Sus scrofa: one gene and its partners. The protein of the gene in region 1 interacts with the protein of each later gene in a pairwise test. Links are inferred from orthologs where the notes say so. Each region holds a gene or a part of one and is shown in the gene's direction. Other genes may lie near its edges. The genes, in order: CREB3, TSPAN2, SLC29A1, LAT, STX7, KCNK1 and ITM2B.

Region 1 (4,021 bases):
GGCCTTTCCCTTAACTGACCCACCAGGCCCCTCTCCCCTAGATAGTCCCCCATTTACTATGAAGCCTAGCACATCTCCTGGGTCCCTAACACCTTCCCACCTCCTACCTTGTAAATAACATGGTCCAGGAACCCCTGCCCCTCACCTGTGGTGGCCACAGCAAGAGCCTTGGGCTTAGAGAGTACAATGCAGCTGGAATCCCAGATGCCTGCAATTCTAGCTGAAGCTCAGAACCCTACCCTGTAATCAGTTTATCATTTCTCTGCGCCAAAGAAGCCCCCACGGCGACAGAGAAACAAGAGCCCTCCCTGCAAAAAAAAAAAAAAAAAAAAAAAAGAGCACCTGCCAATCTCTTAAATTTTACCTGCCTGAGGTCACCTACCCTGACCTCAGCCTATAACCCCTAAAACTGTCCTTAGTTCCCAACATTAACCCCGATCCCAATTTGTCTCCTGATGCCCAATACTGGCTTTAACATTCAGCTCTTTCCCAGCAGACACTTGAATCCAATCCCTGATCCCTAATTTTGATCTAAATTTTACCTTTAGCACCAAATCCCAACCTTACCCCTAGAGCTTGACCCCTGAACCTAAAGATCATGTGTCACTTGATTCCTGAGTCACTCCTTCCCCGTTTTACCCCTAACACTGGCTATGCCAACGGTCTCTAATGCCTAAAACTGGATCTCGAGCGCCGTTCCTGCTGCTGACCCTTAACCCGACCCTGGACTCTAACTCTGGCTTAGGCTGACCATCCTAGAACACAAAATAATGTCCTTAATCCAAACTTTACCTACCCAAAACGGACCTGACTCACGCTCATAACTCGAAATTTAAACCCCTAAAGCTAACCTTGGCTCCTAAACCCAATACCACCTAATCCCCAACCCACCCAGGGCGCTCCTACCCACATACCCGCCATCAGCCAACCTCAAAGCCGATCCCCGCCCTGCGTCGCACTGCCACCCACTCTTCACCCTCCCCCAAACCTATCCCAGACAGGGGGCTGCTCCCAGCAAGGGAGCAGAAAAGCCTCCCGCAAAAAGGCCTCTTGAACTCCCAGCCCAAGCCGAGAGACACTGGACGCTGACCTCTCCAACAGGACCCGAAACAGGAGACGCAGTCAAGTCAGGGGCCCCGCCCGCCTCCCGGGCCCGGCCTTGCGGCCCCACCCTGAGGCCCCGCTCGCGGCAGACCGGCCTACCTGCGCTGCCCGGCTCTGCGCCCCGCCCGCCGGCCCGCTAACCCGCTCGTTCTCCCGGTGGCTCTCGGGCTCCGGCCTCGCCCTCCCTTCGACACTCTCGGCCACTTCCGTCCGGGAACGTCCCCCGCCCGCGGGCGGCGCCCTGGGCCCGCGCTCTATGGTTGCGGGGACCGCAGGAAGCTGCTCTGGCCCCAGATCTCGATGCTCAGGAGCCGGCCGAAGACCCGCAGCCCCTCCCCGGCAGGAAGCGAGGGTGCGGCGCAATCCCAAGAAGACGCCCGAGCTGGGCCCGAGGTCCCGGTTGCGCGGTAGTCCTTCCTTTTCCTAGCCCGGGGCGAAGGCGGAGGCGGAGGCGGAGGCGGCTCGCCGGAATGCCCGCCCTCGGGGAGTGAGGGGCTGGCAAGGACGTCCCCTCTATTTGCATAGTGCCCGGGACGTGGCGTGCACCAAGGCCACTTCCGCGTCCGGGGAACTCCAAGTCCCGGGATGCCTCAGGGCTCGGTGCGTCACTTGTGTGGTGTTGGAAGTGGCTAAGACTCAGGCTGGGAGGCGGGTCGGGTTTGTGAGCCACCTCCGGCATCCAGGAGGAAAACCCCGCTTGCGGAGCCCATAGGTGTGGCCCACTGACGATCGGTGGGAGTCGTGCGTGGGGTTGGGAGTTGACTCCGGGTGTACTTCTGTGTTTCTGCTCATCCTTTCCGTAGATGTCTCATATGGAGCTGGGGTTGGACTCGGGTGACGATGACTTGCTGGGCTTCCTGTTAGAGGAAAGCGGAGGTCTGGGGGCGGCGCGGGACGAAGCCTTGGAGGCGCCCCTGGATTGGGAGCTACCACTTTCCGAGGTGGGGGGGGGCTCTGAGTCCGGGAGGCCCCGGGCGGGATGGAGGGGTGTCTCTGAGGCAGGGGGTGGTGATCAGTCAAAGTCTGTTAATCTGAACCCTGGGCAGGCATTGAGCGATTGGGACGTAGAGGATTTCCTGAGCTGCCTGTCGAGTCCCCCAGCATCGTTGACCGATTTTAGCCACTCTGACCCCTATCTTGTCCACCATGATCACACCTATTCCCTGTCACAGGAGTATGTCTCCATAGATCTAGGTGAGTCTGATAGAGGTGAAGTTTGGGGGAGGGGAGGGGACTATGGACCTGGCTGTTTATACTTTCCCTCTTGCAGATAATGAGGATTATGAGAAGGAAGGGGCCCAAATGACTTCCCTGCGTGTGGAGGCGCCCGCAGAGCAGGTAACTTGACTTGGTTTACAGGACGATTATTCCCACATTGACCGGGTTGGGGCAGGAGTCCGAATTTCTCTCTGACACCCTCTTGCACCTGTGCTGCCCACCTCTTGGAACCCCAGGAGATTGGTGAGCTGATACTGACGGAGGAGGAGAAGAGGCTTTTGGAGAAGGAGGGGCTTACTCTGCCCGGGACACTTCCTCTCACTAAGGTAAGACTCCCATTCGAGGAGCAAAGACTGGATGCAGGGGTTAAGTCCCTAGTAGGCTGACTCTGTTAATTTTATATCAGTAACTTGAGAAAGGACTGAGGCGAGATGCTGAGTCCAGCTTCGCAGGTAAGGGCTGAGGAACGGGTGCTGTAAAACTTGAGAAAAAGTTAGCATAAAACAAGACACAGAGACATTTATCTTAATTGCGGGTGGGAACTGGGGGACTCAAGGTCTCAGGGACCAAGAGCAGTGCCTCAAGAAACCACACTGCTTTTATTGTGCTCTTTAGGATTACATCAAGTGAGGAGGGGGTTGTAGGTGCAGGACATAGTTCTTTTATTATTTTAAAAGTCACATAGCTGGTAGCTGGTTAAGCTTTTATTCTGACCTTTAGGCATTAACAATCACTAGCATTGAAGAAGCTGGATATTAGCTCTCTGTGCATAGCACCTAGAGAATTATCATTGTGCTTCCACAGACAGCATGCCTATCTGCTGCAACCTGGCATGCCTAGGTTTGTACCTCCTTGCTGATGCATATTCTGCTAACGACCGCTCATAAACCCCCTGGGGCCTTGAGGCGCCTCTTCCTCTTATTTTAACAGGACGTATCATGCTGTGCAAACTGCATGCCTAGACCAACGCATTATGTCCTCATTCAGCTGACCACGTGAATACTTATGCCTTTTGGTCTTTGTTCTTAAGCTTAAATTATTTACTAGCATGGTGACTGTTTTTCAAGCTGGAATATGGGGTTAAGTAAAGCAGGACAAAATGGAATTTTCAGCATAGAAAATAGAAGCAAAGAGGCTAAGAAAAGATTGTAGAAACACGTCTCCTGACAGCGAGAGATTGGCACGTTTGTTGTTTGTAGGAAGCTGTAGTTAATATGCTGGATGCCGGGGCAGATCCTGGTTTTTGTAGGGCTTGTACAAACTTTGGTGTTCTCTTTAAGTAAGAATTCAAAATCATTAGTGTAATATTGGTATAGGGATTTGCAAAGTACTGTGGGAACAGGGGGGTCCTGACACTTAGATTTCACTAGTTTTACACTAATCCACCTATGGCTGAATGGTTAAGTTTTAGAATTCATCAAGGCTGGACTAAGGAGTATAACAAAAATAAATGTAAAATCCTGAGTTTTGCTTCAAGCAATGAGTGGCAGCTTCACATGTGCGGTATTGTGATACTATGATGAAATCAATATTTACTGATAGAAAGATAAAGAGACTTTAATTTCTTAAAAGTACAGTAGTGTGATATGACTACTAAGAGTGAATAGGCCTGGAGTTCCCGTAGTGGCGCAGTGGTTAATGACTCTGACTAGGAACCATGAGGTTGCAGGTTCGATCCCTGCCCTTGCTCAGTGGGTTA
Region 2 (3,500 bases), on another chromosome or scaffold:
AGTTCAAAAGGACCAAAGGGCTACGTGGTCTCTGCCGATGCGCCTTTCCAAAGCAGCGATCGCTGTCATCAGCAACAATCTCAAGCTCGAAGGGGTCCACACCCACAGCATCCCTGCCCCGGCGTGCTAGGAGGATTCCCTCACAGTGATGACATTCAGCTGTGCCACAGTTTCCTTGGCCCAGGAGGAAACCCATGTGGTTTGGGGTTGGGGGACGTGGATGAGCAAGTGCAGATTTCTTCTCATTGCCCCATGGCTTTAAATTGCAACCTCTCTTTTAATTTTCCATTATGCATCAAACACATCTGTGCCAGAAGTGGACAAATGTATTCCGTCTGGGAGGATGATCCCAGACAGCTATAAATTAGAGCTTGTGTACAGAGATGCCAAAAATGTGGCCTCGTGGTAGGGTGTCCCTGGGACCCGTCACCTCCTCCACAGTCTGCTTGGTGGCTGCAGCCCTTGGCCTGATGCCTCTGTCAATAGATTTTTGCTTTGTATTTGGAAAGTCTTTCCACTGAGTGGCTGCAGAGGCGGGGCGGGCAGGGCTGCCTCTGAGGCTTTGCTGAGCACATCTGTCCCCAGCAGCCCCCGACACCCCAAAGACAGGGCTTTCCCAAGGCCATCGCTGTCTTCCCTGTACCAGAAACAGCAATCACCTCAAAGCTGGTTTCCTCCCAAAGTAAAGCACAGCCCAAGAAACCCCACCACCACCATCTTTTCTGGGTTGATCAGATAAACCACCTCGTCACACTTTTAAACTTACTTTAGTAATCTATGCTTCATGCAGAAAACTTAGTATATAGCTAAAAGAGAAAAGTCACCTGTAATTTTATCCTTCGAAAAGAAATATGGTTAATGTTTTAACATGACTTCTTTGGAATATTTTTCCATGCCTTGCTACCCTTTTTAAAAATTGAAAAATCTTTTATAGCCCCTTTGAGCCCAGTTCCTTTTGCTGTCCCTCACATTATCCAATTAGTGCTTTCCTGTAAGTACTGGAAACTTTTAGTCGTTCCACATTGGATCGCAGCTGGTAGAACTTGGCCTCTCCAACTCCTCCTGCAGCGGCCCTGCTGCTCTTCTGAAGAAGCTGGCCACGGAGGGAATGGGCTTTGGGTGGGGGGGTGGGAGGAGGGTGAAGAAAGATAACATCCTCAAACAAGTCCGGCCAGATAGCCCCCGCCTTTTGTAATAGCCCACAGATAACAGGATTCCTTATAAACAGGGCTCTGGTCTGACCCTGACCTTGAAACCATTTTTCCTTATTAAACCTCTACTTCTCTGGCTTGTGAACTTCTGTCTTCCTGTGCCCAGCATCTCTCGTATCTGCTTCTCCCTGTGGGCCAGCAGCCTCTAAAGTGTCAGTCCAGGATGGGCTAGGGCAGCCCAGCACTAACTGTATGGGTCAGCAGAACCAGCAGGCTCTTTTGACATCTCTGCTTACTTTCTCCTGGTGCCTTGAGTCCAGAAGGTGCGCAGGGAATTATCCATTGATTTATTGATACAATGAAATTCGAGATGAGTGTTTGTGGGGGAGAGGATGCCGGGGCCCACTGGTGGGCCTTTGTGACAGTCCTGCAATGGCAGAAAAGGCTTCCAGCCCTGGTGCGGAGCCTCACAAAAGTCCTCAGAGTGGCTGAGAGGAAGCAGGCGATGACTCTACCAGCCGCCAGCCTGCCCAGCACTGCCTGCGCCAGCCACTCAGCCTCTCCATGAGCCACACGGCACACAGACCATGCTTTTTCAGAAAATTATTTTTTCCTTTCTTGCTTTCCATGGAAACCCAAAATAGCAACCAAAAAAAAAAAAAAAAAAAAAAAGAAAAGAAAGAAAAGAAACAAACAAAAAAAACCACCAGTCTCCCTTATTGCCTGCAAAACCATCCCTAGGCAGTGCAGTGCAATGATCAGTGACCGGAGAGGTCTAGACGCCTCTGAAACAGCTTTCTCACTGGGCGCTGCTCGCTCAGGAGGCGTAGGCGGGTTCTGAAGTTGGCATGTTTTCTTCCCACTTAGAAAAGTAGGTCTTGCCCCCTCCCCGGTCTCAGAGTTCATCTTGCTCTTGGTGACCCGGCGGCTCAAACACAGTCCCCTCTCACTGTGGTGTTGGTGAGGAAGTCTGAAGTGCCCGGCAGGGGACAATAAACAGGGAGCAGACGCCTTCGGGGGCTGTTACTGGAACACTTTGAGACGCCTCCTGAGCTGGGCTGTGTGTGCCCTATAACCGCAGGGCAGCCTGGCAGAATGGAGAAACTCTGCGCTTGGAATCAGGAAGCCCCAGTTTTAACATTACATCAGGGACCTGGGGTTGGGGGTAGAGGCTGCGAGCACATCCTTTCACCCCTACCATGAAATGATGAGCTGGTTTCTTAGGGGGGCCCCCTCCAGCCCTCAGCATTCTGCGGCCCCAGGCTTCCCGGGTCATACACACACTTTCCCCTCCCTTGTAAGAGCATGCTGTTTACCTTTCAGCTGGCAGGGTCGGCTGTCATTGCTTTTGGACTGTGGTTTCGGTTTGGAGGCACCATGAAGGATTTTTCATCGGAGGACAAGTCCCCAGAGTACTTCTACATGGGTGAGCGACTTCAGCTTTCCTGGGCTTTAGCTGGGGCTGCTGGGCTTAGAGCCGGAGCCTGCACCCAGGCTTCTGTGGGAGGCGGGCAGAGGGAGAGAGGAGGCAAACCTGAGCCCTGTGTGCCCACCTGGCCCTGGGAGGGGGCTGTGCAGTCCAGGCAGAGAGGAGAGGGCCCTGCCACCCCTACTCAGCCCACCCCACACATGGTTTATCCCTCTGCTCCCAAAACCAAGGAAGACCAGGAGGCACTGGGGTGTTGTACTTCTTTCAGCCTCCTTAAGAAAAGAAGGGCAGCATGTCACCACAGTTCATTTCCAAAGACTTGGAAAACCCTCTCTGCCCCCTGAGTGAAGCAGAACACTACCAAGTCAGTTATTCACTCATCCCTCTGGGGTGATGGGGGCTCCTGCCCAGTCAAGGCTGGGTATTTTATATGTGTGGTCTTAAATTCTAAATTGTCTAGAAGAGACACATAATTCAAAATGAAGAGACATTGCAAGATGTGGAGACACTGATCTTAGTCCCTCCATGACTGGGGTCTGCAGAGGGCAGGGGCTGGGGAGGGGGAGAGGGCTGCCCTGGGGAGAGGCCTCAGTGGGGGAGGGGAGTAGCCTCTCCCCCCAGCTGTGGGAAAGGGCTGAGGAGGGAGTGTGAGCCTGGGTAGCCTCTAATTCCAAGACCATGGCTGAGTAGGGCTGAGTGTTTCCCCCTGGGTTTAGTTCCCTTGGATCTACTTCTAGTCCTCTTTGGGGGCCTTTTTTTCTTGCCCCAGCTAAGGGCACCTGGACTCTAGATTTCAAAAAGCCCAAGACCATCAGGGCTAGGTGATAGCCCTATGGACTGGCTGTTTTAGGATATGTGCCTGCCATAGAGGATGCTTCAGTTGCTTATGGCAACCTCTGAGCTTAAGGAGAAGCAGGGTT
Region 3 (3,500 bases), on another chromosome or scaffold:
CTGCCCTTCTTTGTCATCACCATGATCAAGATCATGCTCATTAACTGTAAGCGGGGTGGGGAGAGCTTCCCATGTGCCCGCCCCCTGCCTTCAGACCCGCAGTGGGCATTCCTCCCCCAGGGGGTCAAGGTTCAGAGGCCCAAGTGCTCACGGACCAGGGCCGGGAGTGGGATGAAGAAAAGGGAGTAAAGGAGTTCCCGTTGTGGTGCAGCGGAAACAGATCCGACTAGGAACCATGAGGTTGCGGGTTCGATCCCTGGCCCCACGCAGTGGGTTAAGGATCTGGTGTTGCCGGGAGCTGTGGTGTAGGTCACAGACGCGGCTTGGATCTGGCGTTGCTGTGGCTGTGGTGTAGGCCGGCAGCTGTAGCTCTGATTATCCCCTAGCCTGGGAACCTCCGTATGCCACAGGTGTGGCCCAAAAAAAGACAAAAAAGAAAAAAAAAAAAGACTAGAAAAGGGAGTAAAGCAGGAATCATAGGGACCTGTTTTCCCAGGGCCCCCCCCCACCCATCCGGCTCCCCCCTCCCCTGCTGATGCCCACCCTGTCCCCCAGCGTTCGGTGCCATCCTGCAGGGCAGCCTGTTTGGCCTGGCCGGCCTCCTGCCCGCCAGCTACACAGCCCCCATCATGAGTGGCCAGGGCCTGGCAGGCTTCTTCGCCTCCGTGGCCATGATCTGCGCCATCGCCAGTAAGTCTTTCTGTCTGTCTGCCTGTTGCCCAGATTGTGGGGGAAGAAGGGGTGGGACCTGTCTCTGATCACTGATACCCTCTACCCCAGGTGGCTCGGAGCTTTCGGAAAGTGCCTTCGGCTATTTTATCACAGCCTGTGCGGTTATTATTTTGACCATCATCTGTTATCTGGGCCTGCCGCGGCTGGTGAGCGCCTGGAGAACGCTGGGGTTTGCGGTCTGGGGGTGGATCCAGGGCTCCAGACCCAGGGTATTCTGAGGCCTAAACCTGGGGGAGGTGAATTCTGGAGATTCCGAATCTGAATCCACCTCCCGGTCTCCCTCACTTGATAGGAATTTTACCGCTACTACCAGCAACTCAAGCTTGAAGGGCCTGGGGAGCAGGAGACCAAGCTGGACCTCATTACTAAAGGTCTGAAGAGCCTGAGGAAGCGGGGGGTGGGGGGTGGGGGGGAGCCTGAGCAGAGGGCAAGAATGAGCGCTGCTGGAGTCCCCATCGTGGCTCAGTGGTAACAAACCCGACTAGTATCCATGAGGATGCGGGTTTGATCCCTGGCCTCGCTCAGTGGGTTAAGGATCTGGTGTTGCCGTGCGTTGCCGTGTAGGTTGCAGATGAGTCTCAGACACACAGCGTTGCTGTGGCTGTGGTGTAGGCCGGCAGCTGCAGCCTCCGATGTAACCCCTAGCCTTAAAAAAAAAACGAGCGCTGCTGAGATGCCAGAGACCAGAGGGCAGGAGCCAGGGATGGGGTGAGGGCTGGGATCGAGAGGACAGCCTGGGTGGCCTTGAATGCCTGAGGACATTGGGAAGCAGTTTCAGATTCTTGGACAAGGCGTAACCTGCCCAGAGGCTCCTGAGAGAGGTCAGGACCGGGATTCAGAGGAGGTCTGAACTGGCCGGGTGTGGCTGTGTGCTGGTCAAGGGGGTGTCTGCTCCCAACTAAGCCCAGCCCTTTGCGGGAAGATGTTTGTGCCATCTGTTGCCCTGTCCTTCCCCCCAACTTGAAGATCCTTCTACAACCTGTCCCCCGCCAGGAGAGGAGTCAAAAGCAGGCCAAGAGGAGCTCAGAGTTTCTGCCTCCAACTCTCAGCCCAGCAACAAAAGCCACTCTGTCCGTGCCATCCTCAGAAGTGTACGTGGCCCTTGGGGCATCCTGCCTTCTGCTCCTCCACCCTTTCTCTCTCTCTCTCTCTCTTTTTTTTTTTTTCATTCCTTCTTCCCCCGCTTCCCGAGCTACCTCCTAGCACTGTCTATCCCTTCCCTTTCTTTTTTTTTTTTTTGCTTTGTTTTTTTAGGGCCTCACCCATGGCACATGCAGGTTCCCAGGCTAGGGGTCAAATCGGAGCTGCAGCTGCTGCCTCTGCCACAGCTCATGGCAACGGCAGATCCCTAACCCACTGAGCAAGACCAGGGATCGAACCCATATCCTCATGGATACTAATTGGATTCATTTCCCCTGTGCCACAATGGGAACTCCCTATCCCCTCCCTTTCTGATTAAAGACTGGCCACTTGCCTGGATTCTTGCGTGCGTGCATGTGGGCACACACCTCTGTGTGTGCGTGCATCTTTCTGTCTGTCTTGGGGTGGGGAGTCTTGGTTCTTTAATGAGGCACAACCGCCATGAAGACACGGGCCTGGGTCCCTTTCCTCCAGATCTTAGTCCCGGCTCTCTCCGTCTGCTTCGTCTTCACGGTCACCATTGGGGTGTTTCCTGCCGTGGCTGCCGAGGTCAAGTCCAGCATTGCGGACACCACCAGCCCCTGGAGTGAGGACACCATGGGTTCCCAGGATGGGGCAGGAAAGGGGCTTGAGCAGGGCCGGGAGCCCAGGAGGAGGGGAGTCTGGACTGCTGCCTCCCCAGCCAGACCTTCCTGGTTCATTTGCCCTTCCCTGGGCTGGAAACATCTCCATTTTACAGCTGGGAAAACTGAGTCCCAGTGAGGGTCAGGGTTGCTGGATCCTGCCTCTCCTGGACCTGATAACCCTCCCCCAATCTCCTCTTCCTCTTCCAGATAACTACTTCATTCCTGTGTCCTGTTTCTTGACTTTCAACATCTTTGACTGGCTGGGCCGGAGCCTCACAGCCGTCACCATGTGGGTAAGTGCAGGAAAGGGGTACCAAGTCCCTGCGAGAGGGGAGTCAGCCTGAGGCCCAGAGAGGGAACCAAGAAAGTATGGTGGGAAGGGGGCCAAGACATATGGAGTTCCTGATGTGGCTCAGTAGGTTATATACCCAACTAGTATCCGTGAGGTTGCAGGTTCGATCCCTGGCCTCGCTCAGTGGGTTTAAGATCTGGTGTTGCCATGAGTTGCAGTGTAGGTCACAGATGCGGCTCAAATCTGGCGTGGCTGTGACTGTGGCATAGGCCAGCAGCTGCAGCTCCAATTCGACCCCTAGCCTGGGAATCTCCATATACCATGGATGTGACCCTAAAAAAAAAAAAAAAAAAAGACATGATCTATGTATAGTGAGGTGCACAGTGTAATGAATATATGTATACACACCAGTAAACAAACATCCCTGATAGTCACTGCCCAGGTCAAGAATAGATCATTCCCGGAGTTCCCATCGTGGTTCAGTGGTTAGTGAATCTGACCAGGAACAATGAGGTTGCGGGTTCGATCCCTGGCCTTGCTCAGTGGGTAAAGGATCTGGCATTGCCGTGAGCTGTGGTGTAGGTCACAGACGTGGCTCGGATCCCGCATTGCTGTGGCTGTGGCGTAGGCCGTTGGCTGCAGCTCCGATTGGACCCCTAGCCTGAAAACCTCTATATGCTGCAGGAGCGGCCCAAGAAATGGGAAAAAAA
Region 4 (4,068 bases), on another chromosome or scaffold:
GCTCATGCTCTGCGCCTTCGTGGGGGCGCTGGGCGGCGCCGCCTTCCTGGGCACCGCCGTCTTCATTGAGGGCGACCGCCGGCGGGCCCAGCTGCACGTACAGGGTCAGTGGGGCCTCCCCTCTGTCTGTCCACAGCCCCTCGTCTAACTTCACGATGCCCCCTGCTTGTCTGTCCATCTCTCCGCCCGCCTGGCCCCGTGTACCTGGCAGCTCTCAGTCCACAGCCCTCCTGTTCCTCGGGCGTCGCATCTGCTGTTCCACAAGCTGATGCTCCTCTGTGTCCGTAGCACGGGTGGCTCTGCTGCCCCGTCCATCTGCCCCTGCCTGTGTGTCCCCTTCCTGGCCCTGTGTCTGTCTGTGCATCCAGCCCTGGCTCTGCTCCCTTTCCCGGCAGGTCTGTTGTTTGAGGCCGGGCCTGCCGATGACCGAATCGTGGTGCCCCAGCGAGGCCGATCCACCCGGGTCCCCGTGTCCAGTGTGCTCATCTGAGGGGGGGTCACCGCTTGCTACCTGCACACCCACCACGGCTGGCCCCGGGCCCACCCAGGAGGGGCCTGGGCCCAAGCTCTCAGCCTGGCCCATTTCTTAGGAGGGGCTTGGCCCATGTTCCGGCTCCCACGCACTACATGGGGAGCCAAGAGGGGATGCTCCCCATCCCCACTGGAGCAGCCCCAGGGGCTCGGTGCTATTTGTAACTGAATAAAATTTGTAGCCAGACCCCAAGTGCCTGCTGGAGTCTCTCTGGGTGCTAGTGACCTCTGACCTCTGGATGGCAGGGGACGCCCCCTTTCTAGACCCAGTTTTCCAGGGGCCGTTGGGTCACTCCTGTGGCACCTTGGGCAAATCCCTGTCCTTCTGGGCTGGTGAACGAGGGGGTGGAGTGAGCTGGCTCGTGTGACCATGAGTCACGCCCATGTCTTCCCTGGAGCCCGCCCGCCCTTGGCAGGCCGGCCAGGGCGAGGTGGGGGTGGGCACTGCCCTGTGCCCCTCAGAGGTCCCGCTGTCTGAGCCTCCCTCCTCGCTGCCTCCTTGAGCCTTGGCTGTGGAGGCCACGGCGGCCACAGCCTGCAAGTATCTTCCCCTTCTCTCCCTGCTGTGAGCTGCCTCTTGTCCGGAGACCAGAAGACCCTTCTGGAGGGCCCGGTGGTGGGGGTGGTGGCTCCTGAGGCCTCCTTCCCCTCCCCTCTGGCTGGGTGGGGGTGGGAAGGGGGCGGGTGCAGCCGGCTGAGGAGCCCTGATGATTTCCTGCCCTCACCCGGCGCTTACCACAGCTTCCTGCCGCGGGCAGGCAGGCAGGCAGGCAGGCGGGCAGGCGCTGAGAGAGGCGGGCGCAGAGCCCAGGGGCAGGTACGGCTGGGGCGCAGGGTCTGTATAGGGGCGCCTGGTGCCCCAGACTCCAGCCCAGCCTGGCCTGACCTCCCTGGGGTCAAGGGCCTTCCAGAACCGGCGCTGCCGCCCACTCAGCCCATTGAGGGGAGGGGGCGCGGCTGCCCCTCTACCAGGCTCCCAGCCTGGTGCCCGCCTGGCCCCTGCCCCTTTGCTGGCCTGGCCCTCGCCCTGCAGCAGCTCTGCTCTTGAGGGCTGTGCAGCGAGCAGCTAGGCCAGGTCCAAGCCCCCTCCTGCAGATGGAGGCGGTCAGCCTGATCCCCTACGCACTGGGCCTCCTGCTGCTGCCCCTCTTGGCCGTGTTGCTGATGGCACTGTGTGTGCGTTGCCGAGAGCTGCCAGGTGAGTGGGTGCTGGTGGGGTGATTGGATGCCCAGACACCCCCCACCTCCAGGGATCCTCACCCCACTCCCCAACCCCTTCATCCCTCTTTAATCGTCTCTAACTGTTTCGGAGACGCCGAGCACCCCAGGGTCCCTCTCCCTCTGCCCCCGTCACCCCCTTTTCCTGCCTCACCAGCCCTCTCTTCCCCAGGCTCATATGACACTGCTGCCCCCGATAGGTGAGTCTGCCCAGGTGACCCAGTGTGTGTGTGTCTCCCTCAATACCCACGGTGGGCCCGAGGGGACTGGGGCGGGGGCTGGGGCCTCTGGCAGCCACTTAGCCAAGCCGTGTCTCTCCCGCTAGTTTGACCCCAAGTAGCATCGTGATCAAGCGGCCTCGTAAGTACACGGTGGGGCCCCTCCTTCGGGTGTGGGGAGAGGGTCCCCTGGTGCCGGAGAGTATGTGCCTTTGTTTAGTTCCCCCCTATGGCTGCCCACATGGCCTTGACCTGAGCTGGGGATGGGGAGGAGATGGGGGCACCCCAGGGCCTAGGGGTGTTGGGGGTCAGTCTGCCCTTTGAGGCCATGACTCGGGTAAAGGGCATGATGTTTGGAGTCATTTCTTCAGCTTGGTCCTGTGTCCTCAGCCACACTTGCCCCCTGGCCACCAGCCACTTCCTACCCGCCTATGACCTCCTACCCACCCCTGAGCCAGCCAGATCTGCTCCCCATCCCGTAAGTAGCCTCTCTCCCTCTGAATCCTCCTTTGCGGCCCCTTGCCTCCTTGGAATGGGGGCCTCTTAGCCTGTCGCAGTCCCTCTTGCCCCAGAGCCCCACTCCAGCATGACCACTGACCTTTGACTCCTAGGCGATCCCCGCAGCCCCCCGGAGGCTCCCACCGCATGCCTTCTTCCCGGCAGGACTCAGATGGTGGTAAGCGGGGCGCGGGGCCCAGGGGCTGGGGCTGGGCAGAGCCCAGGCCCGCCTGAGCTGAGTTGATTTCCCTCTCGCGCTCTCTTGGCAGCCAACAGTGTGGCCAGCTACGAGAACGAGGGTGCGTCTGCGATCCTGGCGGCCCTGGCTGGGAGGAGGCCAGGGCCCGCCCTGGGCTCTGCTGACCCTGTGTCGTTCCCCCCAGAGCCAGTCTGTGAGGATGCGGACGAAGACGAGGATGAGGAAGACTATCACAACGAGGGCTACTTGTGAGTGGCCAGGTGGGAGGTAGGGGCTGAAGCCGGGGGGTCCTTGCTCACCCCATCCTTGACTTTCCTCAGGGTGGTGCTTCCCGACAGCGTCCCAGCCACTGGCGCCACGGTCCCAGCAGCTCCTGCGTCCAACAAGCCCGGCCTCCGAGACAGCGCCTTTTCCAGTGAGTTTGCCGTCTGACCACCCCCTGCCCTTGGGCTGCGAGCCCTTGGCTCTTCCCTCTCCTCCTGGATGCCTGCTCCCCCTTCATTTTCTCTCTTCTCTCTTTCTGGCACGTCTGTCCTTCAGATAGGGGACTTCCGGCTCCCATCTTCTGATTTTCTTACCATTTCTCTCCTCTTTTCTCGTTGTCTTTTCCCTTTCTTGTCTGTGAGATTTCCTTGACTTGATTCTTCTTTGGACTCTATGCTTTTATTTTGTCTGGCCTGTCCAAAACCTTTCTTCATCTCTGAATGTTCCTTTTTCATAGCCTCCTGTTCTTGTTTCACGAAGGCAATATCATCTCGTAATTCGATAAGGATGTTGATTGTAGGTGGTCTTTTGAGGGGGGTTGTGGGGGTTCGTTTTCTTCTGCTTTCTGGATTGTTTTAATTTCCCTTGGGCTGCTTTTCTCTCATTTTAGTCTCATCCTGCCTGTTAGAGGCTTTTGTCGAGGTCTCATCATCATTAGTGCCCCGTTACCCGCCTTTCTGTCTCTCCTGTATTCTCTCTCGACTTGTTTTGGGCCATCACGTCCACACCCGGCTTCATTTGCCATCCAGATTCCTAACTCACCTCCTCTCTCCTGAGCCCCAGACTTCTCTGTCCAAGGGCTTATATTCACTTATATCCATTCACTCATTCGTTCATCCATCATATTTCCTGGGTGCCTGGATATAATCATCATATTTCCTGGGTGTATTTCTTATTTATCATGAAGTACAGTCATGATAAATAAGAGCTGACATTGTCAAGGGCGTCCTATGTGCCCTGCTAAGAGTGTTATGTGTTTTAACGTATTACTATTAAACCACACAATTCCCAGCTGCTTTGGAGCCTGGCCCTTCCCCGCCTGGCCCTCTTTTGCCCCATCGGTACAGTTATTTTTTTTTTTAACAGAAGCTTGGCAGCCCTTCCTGTACCACAGGCCCTGTTTTAATTCACTGCTTTAGT
Region 5 (4,037 bases), about 210 Mb from region 1:
TCTCGTGATAAAACATGATGGAGGATAATATGAGAAAAATAAAGTGTACATATGTATGACTGGGTCACTGTGCTGTGCAGCAGAAGTTGACACAACGTTGTAAATCAACTATACTTTAATAAAAAATTTAGAAGTATAGAAGTTTGGGGTAAAATAAAAACGAATCAAATTTCCACTATATCTCAAGAAAGCAGATAATTTGCTTATATTAGGCAATATTCCTAAAAGTCTACTGTTGGCTCTAGCTGAATCATGCTGCCCCTTTAGATGGGGTGTGTACCTTCTGCTTGGCCAGCGTGCCCATCTCTATTGCCCCTCTTCACAGAGGCAGAGTATAATTGCTGCTTATTATCACACTTACACCATAGTTTTCTTTAGGAAAAATGAGGAATAGAAAATACTTCTTCTTCCTGCATCTCTCTTAAAAATAGAAAAATGAAAAGTGAACTGAGAGCCTCTTCTGTTTCTTATCCTTGGTTAATCTCTCTCACATATGTACATATATGTGCATGTGATTCCAAACAACCTAGACTTTTCTCAGGTGGTACCAATTCAAAATATGTTTTGTTTTGTTTTTTTCCACCTTAGTCTATCTGGACTTTTGATATCCTGACGATCCTTTTAGAAATATTGTCTTATTACAGAAAAAGGCCTAATTAATTTGGTATTCTTTCATCAAAAGAAATTATACTTTTATCTAACAATTACTTTGACTATTTATCATGAGAACCTCTCTATGTTTTGGAAATCCGGTGAAACCTACTTCCCGCCCTTGAGGATGCTTAGAATGACTTGTATATGTATGAAAACTTGTCTACTTAGCACATGGGAAAGACTTTTCGCTTATTCCTTCATTGTTCCTGACTGAATTTCCTCTATTCGTGTTAGTATGTCCTCCCCCCAGGGCCTCATTTGCGGGCGTCCGCATTTTTAATGGAGTTGTAAATATGGTCTACTACAGAGTCAAGGGTTAAGAAGCAAGGCAGGCATGAGTTAATCGGGCCAGCTGAAGACACGAGGCTAGGGAGGCCGGCATCCCCCGATAAACAGAGGGGCTCTCCATTCCCTCCTCCTGTTTTTGCTCGCAGGCTAAGACGTTCACCATCCGCAGGTCAGGCCTCAAAAAACACCTCCCTTGCAATTTTGCTGGAACCCCCATTCCTTAGCTTAGAACCAGAGGGGCGGGGAAGGGCTGCCGTCATTTAACCCCGCTGGCCAATGAGAGAGGAGCTAGCTCCGCCTCCTTCCCAGGGAGGTATTGCGGGCATGCGCACTGGCCATCCTGGTGCCGCCACCCATCAGCTGAGAATCGCAGCTGGGGGCTCTGCGGCCCTTGGGTGCCCGCGGCTAAAGAAGAAGAAGGAAGCAGAGGAAGTCGGGGTAAGAGGAGTCTCGGGAGGTGCCCATGGCCGGGCGCCCCGAAAGCGCGTGTCCCCGTGGCTGTCGCGCCACCTTGTTTGCGCGCGTTGTCAGGTGGCCGCCGCCCTGCGCTTTGCGGCAGGCGCTCGGGAGTCTGAGGGCCGGCGTTGCCCCAGCCCCGGGAGCGCGCTGCTCCCCACGCCCCTCGGCTCCGTGCGCGGCGTGGTCAGGCGGGCCCCGCCGGTCCCTGCTGGCCTTGCCAGCCCGGCCTTCCCGCCGCCTGATGCGCAGCAGCCCCGCCGCCTCCCCCTGCCTCCCCGGCCGCGCTTGCTCAGGCGCACCGGCTGGCTGCGCGTTCCCGGGCGGGGCTGGCGTCCGAGCCGCCCCGGCCCAGCTCTGGAATCCAGCTTCTTCTGCCTCAGGCTGGACATGAACTGACCTCTTCCTCTTTTTAATTCACGGGTTTAGAAAACGTGCTTTAAAGTTCTCCTCCCAAATGTAGAAGAACTGAAGATACGTATTTCTGTAGTGAAGGAACCATATACATTAATACAGAGGCTCATTGTAGTTGGTCTTCTCTTTGGTTTGGAGACTATGATATGCTAACTTTCTTTGGCCCTTTCAGTGATGTCCTTAATTGGTTTGCATAAAGCCAGTTACAATACATGCAATATCTCAAGACACCTCCCCACACCCACCCTCTTGGTTTTCAGGTTGTTACTTTCTTTAAATTCAGACAAAAAGAAAAAAATTGCCTTTCAGGTTAAATGCTTTTTTCCCCCCTCAGATTTCTTACATTTGCTAGACTCTTATACAGTAATTTTTGTTTAACTCAAATCAACACAGTCTGACTACAGTTATATGTAATTTAATACTTGTGCGAACTCTGGAAGAAGAGGAAGTGATTATGAAATGCTGTGCTCTTTAGTAATATTGGAGGTGAATGTTTCTTCTGAGGTTGGCCCGATCGTCCCCCAGTACAGAGACTGATAGCAGTGTTCAATTGTCTGGTGATGTGTACAGGCCTCTGCTTTGCAGGCCACTTTGAGAAGTTTGCCTCAGACTTGTGACTCGTTGAAATTTAAGCTCCAGTTTCAAAGTTTCTGTGGAGGTTAATATGATACCATGTTAACGCATTAACTGCTCCCCCAAACAAAGTAAGCCTTAATTTTGGTTACGATCCTAAACTTTAGCCAAATGCTGCTGGTTGAAAAATAAATGATAGGAAGCACGTGCAGTAAGCCTGAGTAAAGTTTGCCATGATTCCATTTTATTTGAAAGTTTGGTGTATGAGCAGATCAAAAATAATCCTCGGTATTGTGAACTAAACCCAAATGGCATAATAGTTTAATGGATGCAAGAGCTGAGCTAAAGAATGCAGTTCGTGTAGTTCAGGTGGAGAATGCTCCTGTTTGTAGTAAAGGGATCACCCGCACATTCATGGAACATCTGTGCTCCCTCACAGCACAGATACCACAAGATGACAGCTTTGTCTCTCTTTATGTTCCAGAGGTAGGGACATAATAAATGATATACTAACTAGATAATTTTAAATGATTATTAGCACCATGATGCAGTAAGTTAGATCAGCAGAGTGGCAGGTGGTGACTTCTCACTTGGATCAAAGTGACTACGGAATGCTTATCTAGCATGTGATGAGACTTTGCTGTGGAAAAGGAGCAAGTCACATGGAGAATCATGGGAAGAGCCTTCTAGGGAGAGGAAATGGCACCCTGGGAAAAAGGAGCCAGTCACATGGAGATCATGGGAAATCCTTCTAGGGAGAGGTGATGGCCCCAGGCATCGTTAAGCCTGGGACATCCTGGATCTCAAAGAAGGCTCTGCAGTGCTGTCTTAGAAATGGTAATATTTATCCTCAGACCAGGTGTGAGTACTTAGGAATAGTTACATTTGTTTATTCTACAAATATTTATTAAGCACCTCTTATATATCCAGGTATGGAGAGTAGAGAAGTCCACAAAGTAGATTTAAAAAAAAAAAAACAAAAACCTTTGCCCTTCTGGGAATTTACCGTTTTGGAACATGGGGTGAAGGGAAGTCCGGTGCTTTATGCTGGTGCTCACCACTAAGAAAGTGAAACTGACTATTGCTGTTGCTTTATCCAATTTGGATTTATAGAGAATGATATTTGTACTTCATGGGAAGCTTAAGAGGCTACACTTTGTCCAGCAGTAACTAAGGATAGTGTTTGACACGCAAGATTCCTCTTTAAAATTTCCTTTGTTCTTTTATTTGTGCTTTTTAGAAACAGTCTTAAGAAGATTCTCATTAGGAATATTGTACTTTGATTTGCTCCTCCCTTCTTTCCCTTTATAGTGTTTATATATCCTCATAGAAAGCTACTTATTAAGGTTTGGTGAGGACCATTCAATAGAACTTTTCTATAATGGAAGTAGTCCATTGGTGAGCTGTCCAAGCCAGTGGCCACACATGTGATATTTGAACACCAGATATAGGTAGTGAGATATTGGTGTTTTGTTTTGTTTTGTTGTCTTTTTTTTTTTTTTTTTTTTTTTTTACTTTTTTCTAAGGCCGCTCCCACTGCATATGGAGGTTCTCAGGCCAGGGGTCGAATTGGAGCTGCAGCCACCAGCCCACACCAGAGCCACAGCAATTTGGGATCCGGGCTGCGTCTGTGACCTACACCACAGCTCACT
Region 6 (4,006 bases), on another chromosome or scaffold:
CTATCAGTGAAAAAGAAATGGTATATGAGCTGATCTCCCACCCTGAGAGCCCACCTCCAGCTGGCTTTTAGTATGATATTATCCAGGTCCATCCATGTTGCTGCGAATGGTGTTATTTCATTTTACTTATTTATTTATGCATTTTTTTTTTTTAGGGCTGCACCTGTGGCATATGGAAGTTCCCCCACTAGTGGTCAAATCAGAGCTGCAGCTGCCAGCCTATGCCACAGCAAGTTAGGATCCAAGCCTTGTGTTCAAACTGTACCACAGCTCACTTAATCCACTGAGTGAGGCCAGGGATTGAACCCGCATCATTGTGGATAATTGTCAGGTTCGTAAACCACTGAGCCAAAAACGGGAACTCTCATTGCTTTTGTAGAGATACCGTAGTAATTTATTTAACCATTTCTCTATTTTGGAATCATTTGTTCCTGAGTCTTCATTATTTCATGTATAATATAGATATATATTGTTTATGAACTGCCTTGTCTATAAATGTTTGCCTCCCTGATTATGATTATTATTTTTTGGCCACACTGGAGGCATGTGAAATTTCTCAGGATAGAGACTGAACCACACCACAACAGTGACCTGAGCAGCAGCAGAGACAACAGCCAGTTCTTTAATGGCTAGGCTGCTAGGGAACTCCTCCCTGATTTTTTCTTAGGCCACATCATGGAATCAGAGTACATAAGCTCTTTTAAGGCTCTTGAAACATCCTCAACTTGCCTTTTGCAAAAAGGGCACACCCATTTCGACTGGCCCACAGTAAGGGCTTCCCCTTAAAAAGATCTGCCACATGGGAAAGCTCAGTCGCTTCTAGTGGTTGGCATATTGGTATTTTTCTTCATTCTTCATGTTTTAAAAGAACTAGGCTTCAGAAATGTGACTTTTCCAAAACTCTGCCTTAGTCTTCAGGTCCAAGGCACCTTCTGACCTTGAGGTTTCTGGTTCTTTTCACCATCCATCATTGGCACCAGATTGCGCCAACGTCTTATCTGGCCAATAAGACAAGATGAAAAGTATTCCAGCGCCCGCTTTGTCATAATAGTGGATTTGATTAAGAAGAAATAGGGTGAAACGGAGTAGCTGCGATCTGAGGCTTGGACTGGCAGCGCACTGCCCAGAAGTGTCCCCCCGCCGCCGCGCGCGCGCGCGCGCGCGCGCATACGCTCCCTCCCTGCCACCTCCCCGCCCCCCTGCCCTGCCTTTTGCTGGGGCTGAACCTGGGCGGGGAGCTGGAGGTACCCTCGCCACAAGGCAGGGGTCTGGGCCGCCCAGGAGACATCGCCAAGGGCGGGAGCGTCCCGGCTGCGCGCCCAGCCCCCACTCGGCGGCTAAGTTTGCCGGGCTGTCAGGGGCGACTCTCGGGTTACCTGAGCCGGCCACCACGTCAGCGCCACATCATCTGGGCTTTTTTATTTGCAAGGAAACAGGAAAAGAAGGAAGAAAAAGGCCTCCGGAGCCGCTAGCCAATCGCAGGCAGCCGGCGCTGCGGGCGGAGCGGGCGCGCGGGCAGCGGGGCGGGCCGAGGGGACGGCGGGTGGCAGCGGCGGGCCGGTCTGCGGCGCGGGCCTCGCGGCGGCGACAGCCTCGCGGCGGGAAAGATGCTGCAGTCCCTGGCCGGCAGCTCGTGCGTGCGCCTGGTGGAGCGGCACCGCTCGGCCTGGTGCTTCGGCTTCCTGGTACTCGGCTACCTGCTCTACCTGGTCTTCGGCGCCGTAGTCTTCTCGTCTGTAGAGCTGCCCTACGAGGACCTGCTGCGCCAGGAGCTGCGCAAGCTGAAGCGGCGCTTCCTGGAGGAGCACGAGTGCCTCTCGGAGCCGCAGCTCGAGCAGTTCCTGGGCCGGGTGCTGGCAGCTAGCAACTACGGCGTGTCGGTGCTCAGCAACGCCTCGGGCAACTGGAACTGGGACTTCACCTCCGCCCTTTTCTTCGCCAGCACCGTGCTCTCCACCACAGGTAAGAGGCCCACCCCACGTCCCTGGCCCCGGATCGGCTCTCTGATCTAGCCGCTCCTCCCTCCCCGGACCCCTCCGGCGCTAATCTTGGGAGGACCGGCTCCGCGGCGCCGGAAGCCGGCGAGGTGGGTTCAGAATGCTAGACAAGGGTTGACCCCCTGGAAGTCTTGGATCGTGGTCCCTAACCCTTCGGCCTGAGCGGCTGCAGGGGTCCCCAAAGCCGCGTTCTTTTGTTTGCTACACCCTCCATCCAACCGTCCGCTTGGAGTCGTTTGGGTCCTGGACGCCGCGCGGCGGTGATGGAAACTCCAGTGCAGCGAGGGCGCGCGCCTTCCTCCCTCCCCTGTCCCGCTGGGCCGAGACTGAGGAGCCTAAGGATAACGTGTTCCAGGGTCACCTTCCCGAGGGGCCTCTGTCTGATGATACTGTGATGTTTAGGCTCTTTTCTACCGTAGCGGCCGTTTCGGGGTAAGCGAGTGACATCACTCTGCTCTTCGCAGGTGACCTCTGAGCGCACTGGCCGATCCGGTTTCTCTTCGGAGCAGGAGGAGGGGTGAGGCTAGGCAACATCCGATAGCCTGTGATCCGGGAAAATGGGGGCACCCTGATTCAGCAGTTTTTTAACTTTCGGTGCGCGAGGCCACGCTTAAACTTCTTGGCGCCACCCTCCCCACACCACTCACCAAGCAAGACGTTCACGATGGAGAGTGTCCCGGGGGCGAGAGGAGGCCGGTAACTGGTTGGTTGGATAGAGTGGCCCCAGCCTGGACTAAATGAGGCACGTGAACACCTGGGGGGAGGTTTTGTCCATTGGGATTTGGACCCAGGCAAGTGGTCTCCAAGAGCATTCAGCGCAGTCCCATCTCTATACATCAGATGAGACCTTTAACAGTCCCTCTTGACTTGCACAAGGTCACAGGCAACCTAGTTCCCAGCGTTGTTCTGGAAGCCGAGCCTTGTGATTTCCCAGCCTTGAACATGGGGGTACCCCAGGGGGTACCCCACCCCCACCTTTCCAGGTGAATTAAACTTGTGTTACTCAGACTCCTCCGTGGCCCCACCTCCTCTCCGCCTCCCAGGGTTTATTTCTTTATAATACCCTTGAGCTAAACCCAGTTGATGGTTCCGGTGATTTTTTTGGTAATGAGTAATGGTGCACTATCCCAGTAGATGGTGTAAAAACTGGGATTCAGAAGTGTGCTGTGAATGACTAAACTGCCCCATGTTTGCCCTGCTATAGGGGAAGTAGAATTGTAGTTTGTTTTGTGACACTTTTTAAAGGTAGCCCTAAGACGACCTGTTCTCTTACTTTTTAGCTTTTCCGACACCACTCTTTGGTTGTTTTTTGGCCAGTCCTGCCTGCTTCCACTGTCTTTACTTCGCTCTATTCCTCAGATCATTTAGTACTGGCCCTGCCTTTCCTTTGGAGTATGTTTGTGCTAAATTGAGAATCATTTCTTCCCTGCAGACCTAAGGGGTTTGTGGGCTGCGGAAGGTCTACAGCTGGGTCACAATGTTGGGGTAAATATTACAAAGAATGGTTAAACTTTTCATACTTTCTAAGTAACAAAACTTCAAAGATAGAGCAGGAGTATGAACAATATTATGAGAAAAAGAACGCGTTTGCTCAGTGGGATTTTCCTTTACTGATGCAGCTCATGTACAATCTCGATGTCATATGCATCTAATCAAATGTTAAAGATAGGAATTTACATCTTGAACAATTATTTCCCAGATTTCCTCCCTCTCTTTTTGCAACTAGGAAAATCTGCCATTCTTTTTTTTTTTTTTTTTAAAGGTGGGGAAAGATGTCTTAATATTGGTATTCAGATTGCATCGCAGTTCCTAAGAAAGTGTGTATTCATGCAAAACAAAAGTTCATTTAGGAAATCAGTGCAAGGGGCACTTAAGGATAAACTAGATGAAAAAATTTGCTTCTTGAACTTATTAAGTCACATAGAATTCCTTTGAAATTTAGATTTCTATTCCAAATCAAAGATACTCTTCTCTTCGTTCTATTTGAGTTGAAAGATACTCCTTTCTTA
Region 7 (3,500 bases), on another chromosome or scaffold:
ATTAGACCCCTAGCCTGTGAACCTCCATGTGCCAAGGGTGCGGCCCTAAAACAAAACAAAACAAAAAAAGAAGATAAGTGTGTTAACTCTGAAGTGACAGAGTAGAGAGACTGAGTTAAAGGGGCAAGGAGTGCGTCTAAGGACTGTGAATATCCCGACCCTAGATGGTGTTCCAGTGCTAAATTATTTCCTTGATTGGGTCAAAATTAGAATTCTAACAACTGTATGCTAGTTGGGTGTCTCTTAATAAGTTTTTCTTACTGAATCTTTCCTCAGTTTTCTACAGCTTCTATCTTAAAAATGAAGAATTTGATCAAGAAGTGGAGTTACAGGATTATTTCTAGATACGTGTGTCCTACTTTTTTGAGATTCTAGTTATTTAAAGAATCTGCTTAATATTTTTGGTCTGTCCCTGATTTTTTGTTAATTTTTCTTATGTTTGGTTAGGAGTGGGCTTGGTGTCTAGTATGGAATACTAACTCCTTGTAGCAGGCTAACACATAATTTTATAAATAATCTCATGTACGTGGAAGTTGTAATAATACACAAGACCCAGCATCATAATGTTGCATCGCGGAGTTGTATCATAGCCATCTCTGGATTTTTAAATGTTAGAAGCTATTTTAATCATCACCAAAAGTTAAAAGAAAAGAGAGACACACACAGAAAAGGGAGAGTGTTAAGTGTGTTATTTATTGCTCTAGAGATATGATAGCTGGTGGGCTGTTGAAAGTTAGAAGAAGGCGACACTCTCCCAAGGGACTGGTGTTTTAGCTCAAGAGGCAATTGTGCTGAGTCCTGGCACCACCACGTAATCATTACTGGGTGGATTTTGGTTAGCGACCTCGCTCTTTGGTCTTTTTGGCTTGGGAGGGGGGACGGCGGACGGACGGACGACTATGCCCATGACACAAGTTCCAGGGCCAGGCATTGAACGCTTGAGTGACAGAAGTGACAACACTGATTCCTCAAGCACTAGGTCTTTATATCTTTTTTTTTTTTTTTTTTTTTTTTTAAGGGCTGCACCCACAGCATATGGAAATTCCCAGGCTAGGGGTCAAATTGGAGCTGCAGCTGCCAGCCACAGCCACAGCAATGCCAAATCCAAGCCATGTCTGTGACCTACACCATAGCTCACAGCAATGCTGGATCTTTAACCCTCTGAGCAAGGCCAGGGGTCAAACCCGGCATCCTCATGGATAGTAGTCGGGTTTGTTACTACTGAGTCACAATGGGAACTCCTATATCTTTGTTTATGTAATAATAATCTTTAAAGTTTCTTAAACAGTCTTGATGTTTCTGTGATTCTGACTAGAGCTAAGATATTGACTATCAGTCTTTTTCATATTTTAGGACCCAGATGAAGTGGTACCAGTTGGCCAAAGAAGAGCCTGGTGTTGGTGCATGTGCTTTGGCCTGGCATTTATGCTTGCAGGTGTCATTCTAGGAGGAGCATACCTGTACAAATATTTTGCACTTCAAGTAAGTGGGAAAATGGTAAGGACGTTTTTTGCCTTTGCTTCACATGTGTTAGAAAATTGGCCCAGGAGTTCCTGTTGTGGCTCAGTGGTTAACGAATCCGACTAGGAACCATTAGGTTATGGGTTCAATCCCTGGCCTTGCTCAGTGGGTTAAGGATCTGGCATTCCCATGAGCTGTGGTGTAGGTTGCAGATGCGGCTCGGATTGGCGTTGCTGTGGCTCTGGTGTAGCTCCGATTTGACCCCTAGCCTGGGAACCTCCATGTGCCGTGGGAGTGGCCCAAGAAATGGCAAAAAGACAGAAAAAAAAAAAAAAGAAAAAGAAAATTGGCCCAAACTTGTTCTGGGTCTGTACTTTTTTCTGTGACCTTTAGCCAAAATGGTGGTCCTCTTAAGGTTGTGTTTCAAAATCTCCTGAACAAATGGAAGATAACATAAGAAAAAGAATGTATATACATGTATGACTGGGCCACTTTGCTGTACAGCAGAAATTGGCACAACATTGTAAATCAACTGTACTTTAATAAAAAAAATAATAAATTAAAAAAAAAAATCACCCACAGGACAAGGATGACCAAAATAGGACGGGGGTGGGGGGGTAAAAAAAGAAAAAAACTCCTGAACGTAAGTTTGCTGAGCCAGCTAAAAAGTCACTAGAAGTGGAATAATACTGTTTTGAAATGTTTCTGGAGTTCCCTGGTGGCTTAGCAGTTAAAGGATCCAGTGTTGTCACTGCTGTGGTACAGGTTCAATCCCTGGGCCAGGAACTTCCACATGCCACAGGCACAACAAAAAAAAAAAAAAAAAGAAGAAGAAAGAAATGTTGCTGACTAAAGGGTATAGATTGTGGATGATTTTTCAAAATTGTCTAACCTCAACTTTCCAACCATAATTAATGGCTAAGTTATAATATTTTTAATTGCCAGTTGAATAAATAAACTAGCCACAAGTGTCATATTAATAGATTACAGTTTGATAGACATTTTGGGCGTCCCCATAAAATTTTGCTCCTGAGTCCAGAGTATACTCATTCCAGTTTTTTACAAGAAATGTATTTTTGATATAAGAAAATCATTTGCAGTTCCACTGTCCAGAGGTAATATTTTTTGACCTAGCATTTTGTTATATGCTCCTAATATTTATTATATACACTTTTAAAAAAAATCAATCTTTATAATGATTTGCTGTAATCTGATATTTTCCACTTAATTATGATGTATTTTTAAGGAAAAATCCAAACTACCTGTATGCTTGTGGAAATTTCAGAAAAACTAAACTATCCCTCTTTTAGCTGATGAGAAAAATCATGTAATTGGTGAATTACATTTTAAAAGTATATTCTTTCAGAAAAACATTATTAGTTTCTGAATATATTCTTTTATAAAAAATAAGGCCTACAGGTAGAAATAGGCCTATGTGTTTCTTCACATTTACTTGTCACCAGATGGATAATTGCCTTTATATTCTATTTTTGTCAAACACAGAAAGTAAAGGAGGAATCAGCTGCTTTTCTCCTTCTGAAGCCTTTTTTTTTTTTTAAACAATACTTCAAAACCTGATCTTACAGGAAGAATGTGTTAACTCTGTAATTAAAGTGTCTGGCTTGTCATGTAAAAGTAAGAGTTTGCAAGCAAAGTACTACTTAGATAAAGGTGGCAGCTTAAGTAATGCTTGCATTTAAAAGCCTGTCTCCCACTGCGTTGCTAAAGCAGTGTTTAAACTCTCCATAGCCAGATGACGTCTACTATTGTGGAATAAAGTACATCAAGGATGATGTCATCTTAAATGAGCCTCCTGCGAACGCCCCTGCCGCCCGCTACCAGACCATCGAGGAAAATATTAAGATCTTCGAGGAAGATGGGGTCGAGTTCATCAGCGTGCCTGTCCCAGAGTTTGCGGACAGCGACCCTGCCAACATTGTGCATGACTTTAACAAGGTGAGCCCAGGGCCCCCTGAACTGTTCCTTAATGGATGCTTTTGTAGTTTTCGCTTCAACATTTGCTAATTTATTCTGTTTAC

What was found.
Region 2: the proteins of CREB3 (region 1) and TSPAN2 interact in a two-hybrid assay, tested with the Homo sapiens proteins (2 studies listed by BioGRID and IntAct). The two-hybrid records come from large-scale screens. The link is inferred for Sus scrofa from reciprocal best matches to the Homo sapiens genes CREB3 and TSPAN2.
Region 3: the proteins of CREB3 (region 1) and SLC29A1 interact in a two-hybrid assay, tested with the Homo sapiens proteins (2 studies listed by BioGRID and IntAct). The two-hybrid records come from large-scale screens. The link is inferred for Sus scrofa from reciprocal best matches to the Homo sapiens genes CREB3 and SLC29A1.
Region 4: the proteins of CREB3 (region 1) and LAT interact in a two-hybrid assay, tested with the Homo sapiens proteins (2 studies listed by BioGRID and IntAct). The two-hybrid records come from large-scale screens. The link is inferred for Sus scrofa from reciprocal best matches to the Homo sapiens genes CREB3 and LAT.
Region 5: the proteins of CREB3 (region 1) and STX7 interact in a two-hybrid assay, tested with the Homo sapiens proteins (2 studies listed by BioGRID and IntAct). The two-hybrid records come from large-scale screens. The link is inferred for Sus scrofa from reciprocal best matches to the Homo sapiens genes CREB3 and STX7.
Region 6: the proteins of CREB3 (region 1) and KCNK1 interact in a two-hybrid assay, tested with the Homo sapiens proteins (2 studies listed by BioGRID and IntAct). The two-hybrid records come from large-scale screens. The link is inferred for Sus scrofa from reciprocal best matches to the Homo sapiens genes CREB3 and KCNK1.
Region 7: the proteins of CREB3 (region 1) and ITM2B interact in a two-hybrid assay, tested with the Homo sapiens proteins (2 studies listed by BioGRID and IntAct). The two-hybrid records come from large-scale screens. The link is inferred for Sus scrofa from reciprocal best matches to the Homo sapiens genes CREB3 and ITM2B.

The regions. Positions count from the first base shown.
Region 1 is NC_010443.5:236,449,352-236,453,372, forward strand, and holds the start of CREB3 (cyclic AMP-responsive element-binding protein 3), read left to right. Parts: upstream 1-1,221; 5' UTR 1,222-1,689; coding exon 1,690-1,704; exon of another isoform or gene 1,705-1,816; intron 1,817-1,907; coding exon 1,908-2,045; intron 2,046-2,150; coding exon 2,151-2,298; intron 2,299-2,374; coding exon 2,375-2,442; intron 2,443-2,558; coding exon 2,559-2,648; intron 2,649-4,021. UniProt on the Homo sapiens protein: Endoplasmic reticulum (ER)-bound sequence-specific transcription factor that directly binds DNA and activates transcription. Plays a role in the unfolded protein response (UPR), promoting cell survival versus ER stress-induced apoptotic cell death.
Region 2 is NC_010446.5:105,516,599-105,520,098, forward strand, and holds part of TSPAN2 (tetraspanin-2), read left to right. Parts: intron 1-2,474; coding exon 2,475-2,577; intron 2,578-3,500. UniProt on the Homo sapiens protein: May play a role in signalling in oligodendrocytes in the early stages of their terminal differentiation into myelin-forming glia and may also function in stabilizing the mature sheath.
Region 3 is NC_010449.5:39,228,313-39,231,812, forward strand, and holds part of SLC29A1 (equilibrative nucleoside transporter 1), read left to right. Parts: coding exon 1-46; intron 47-555; coding exon 556-690; intron 691-780; coding exon 781-878; intron 879-1,024; coding exon 1,025-1,103; intron 1,104-1,698; coding exon of another isoform or gene 1,699-1,725; coding exon 1,726-1,823; intron 1,824-2,346; coding exon 2,347-2,458; intron 2,459-2,705; coding exon 2,706-2,791; intron 2,792-3,500. UniProt on the Homo sapiens protein: Uniporter involved in the facilitative transport of nucleosides and nucleobases, and contributes to maintaining their cellular homeostasis. Functions as a Na(+)-independent transporter.
Region 4 is NC_010445.4:18,637,724-18,641,791, forward strand, and holds the start of LAT (linker for activation of T-cells family member 1), read left to right. Parts: upstream 1-1,268; 5' UTR 1,269-1,626; coding exon 1,627-1,729; intron 1,730-1,921; coding exon 1,922-1,949; intron 1,950-2,074; coding exon 2,075-2,109; intron 2,110-2,357; coding exon 2,358-2,445; intron 2,446-2,578; coding exon 2,579-2,643; intron 2,644-2,734; coding exon 2,735-2,912; intron 2,913-2,984; coding exon 2,985-3,079; intron 3,080-4,068. UniProt on the Homo sapiens protein: Required for TCR (T-cell antigen receptor)- and pre-TCR-mediated signaling, both in mature T-cells and during their development.
Region 5 is NC_010443.5:31,183,668-31,187,704, forward strand, and holds the start of STX7 (syntaxin-7), read left to right. Parts: upstream 1-1,237; 5' UTR 1,238-1,380; intron 1,381-4,037. UniProt on the Homo sapiens protein: May be involved in protein trafficking from the plasma membrane to the early endosome (EE) as well as in homotypic fusion of endocytic organelles. Mediates the endocytic trafficking from early endosomes to late endosomes and lysosomes.
Region 6 is NC_010456.5:57,316,539-57,320,544, reverse strand, and holds the start of KCNK1 (potassium channel subfamily K member 1), read left to right. Parts: upstream 1-1,206; 5' UTR 1,207-1,607; coding exon 1,608-1,962; intron 1,963-4,006. UniProt on the Homo sapiens protein: Ion channel that contributes to passive transmembrane potassium transport and to the regulation of the resting membrane potential in brain astrocytes, but also in kidney and in other tissues.
Region 7 is NC_010453.5:19,353,932-19,357,431, reverse strand, and holds part of ITM2B (integral membrane protein 2B), read left to right. Parts: intron 1-1,353; coding exon 1,354-1,497; intron 1,498-3,210; coding exon 3,211-3,417; intron 3,418-3,500. UniProt on the Homo sapiens protein: Plays a regulatory role in the processing of the amyloid-beta A4 precursor protein (APP) and acts as an inhibitor of the amyloid-beta peptide aggregation and fibrils deposition. Plays a role in the induction of neurite outgrowth.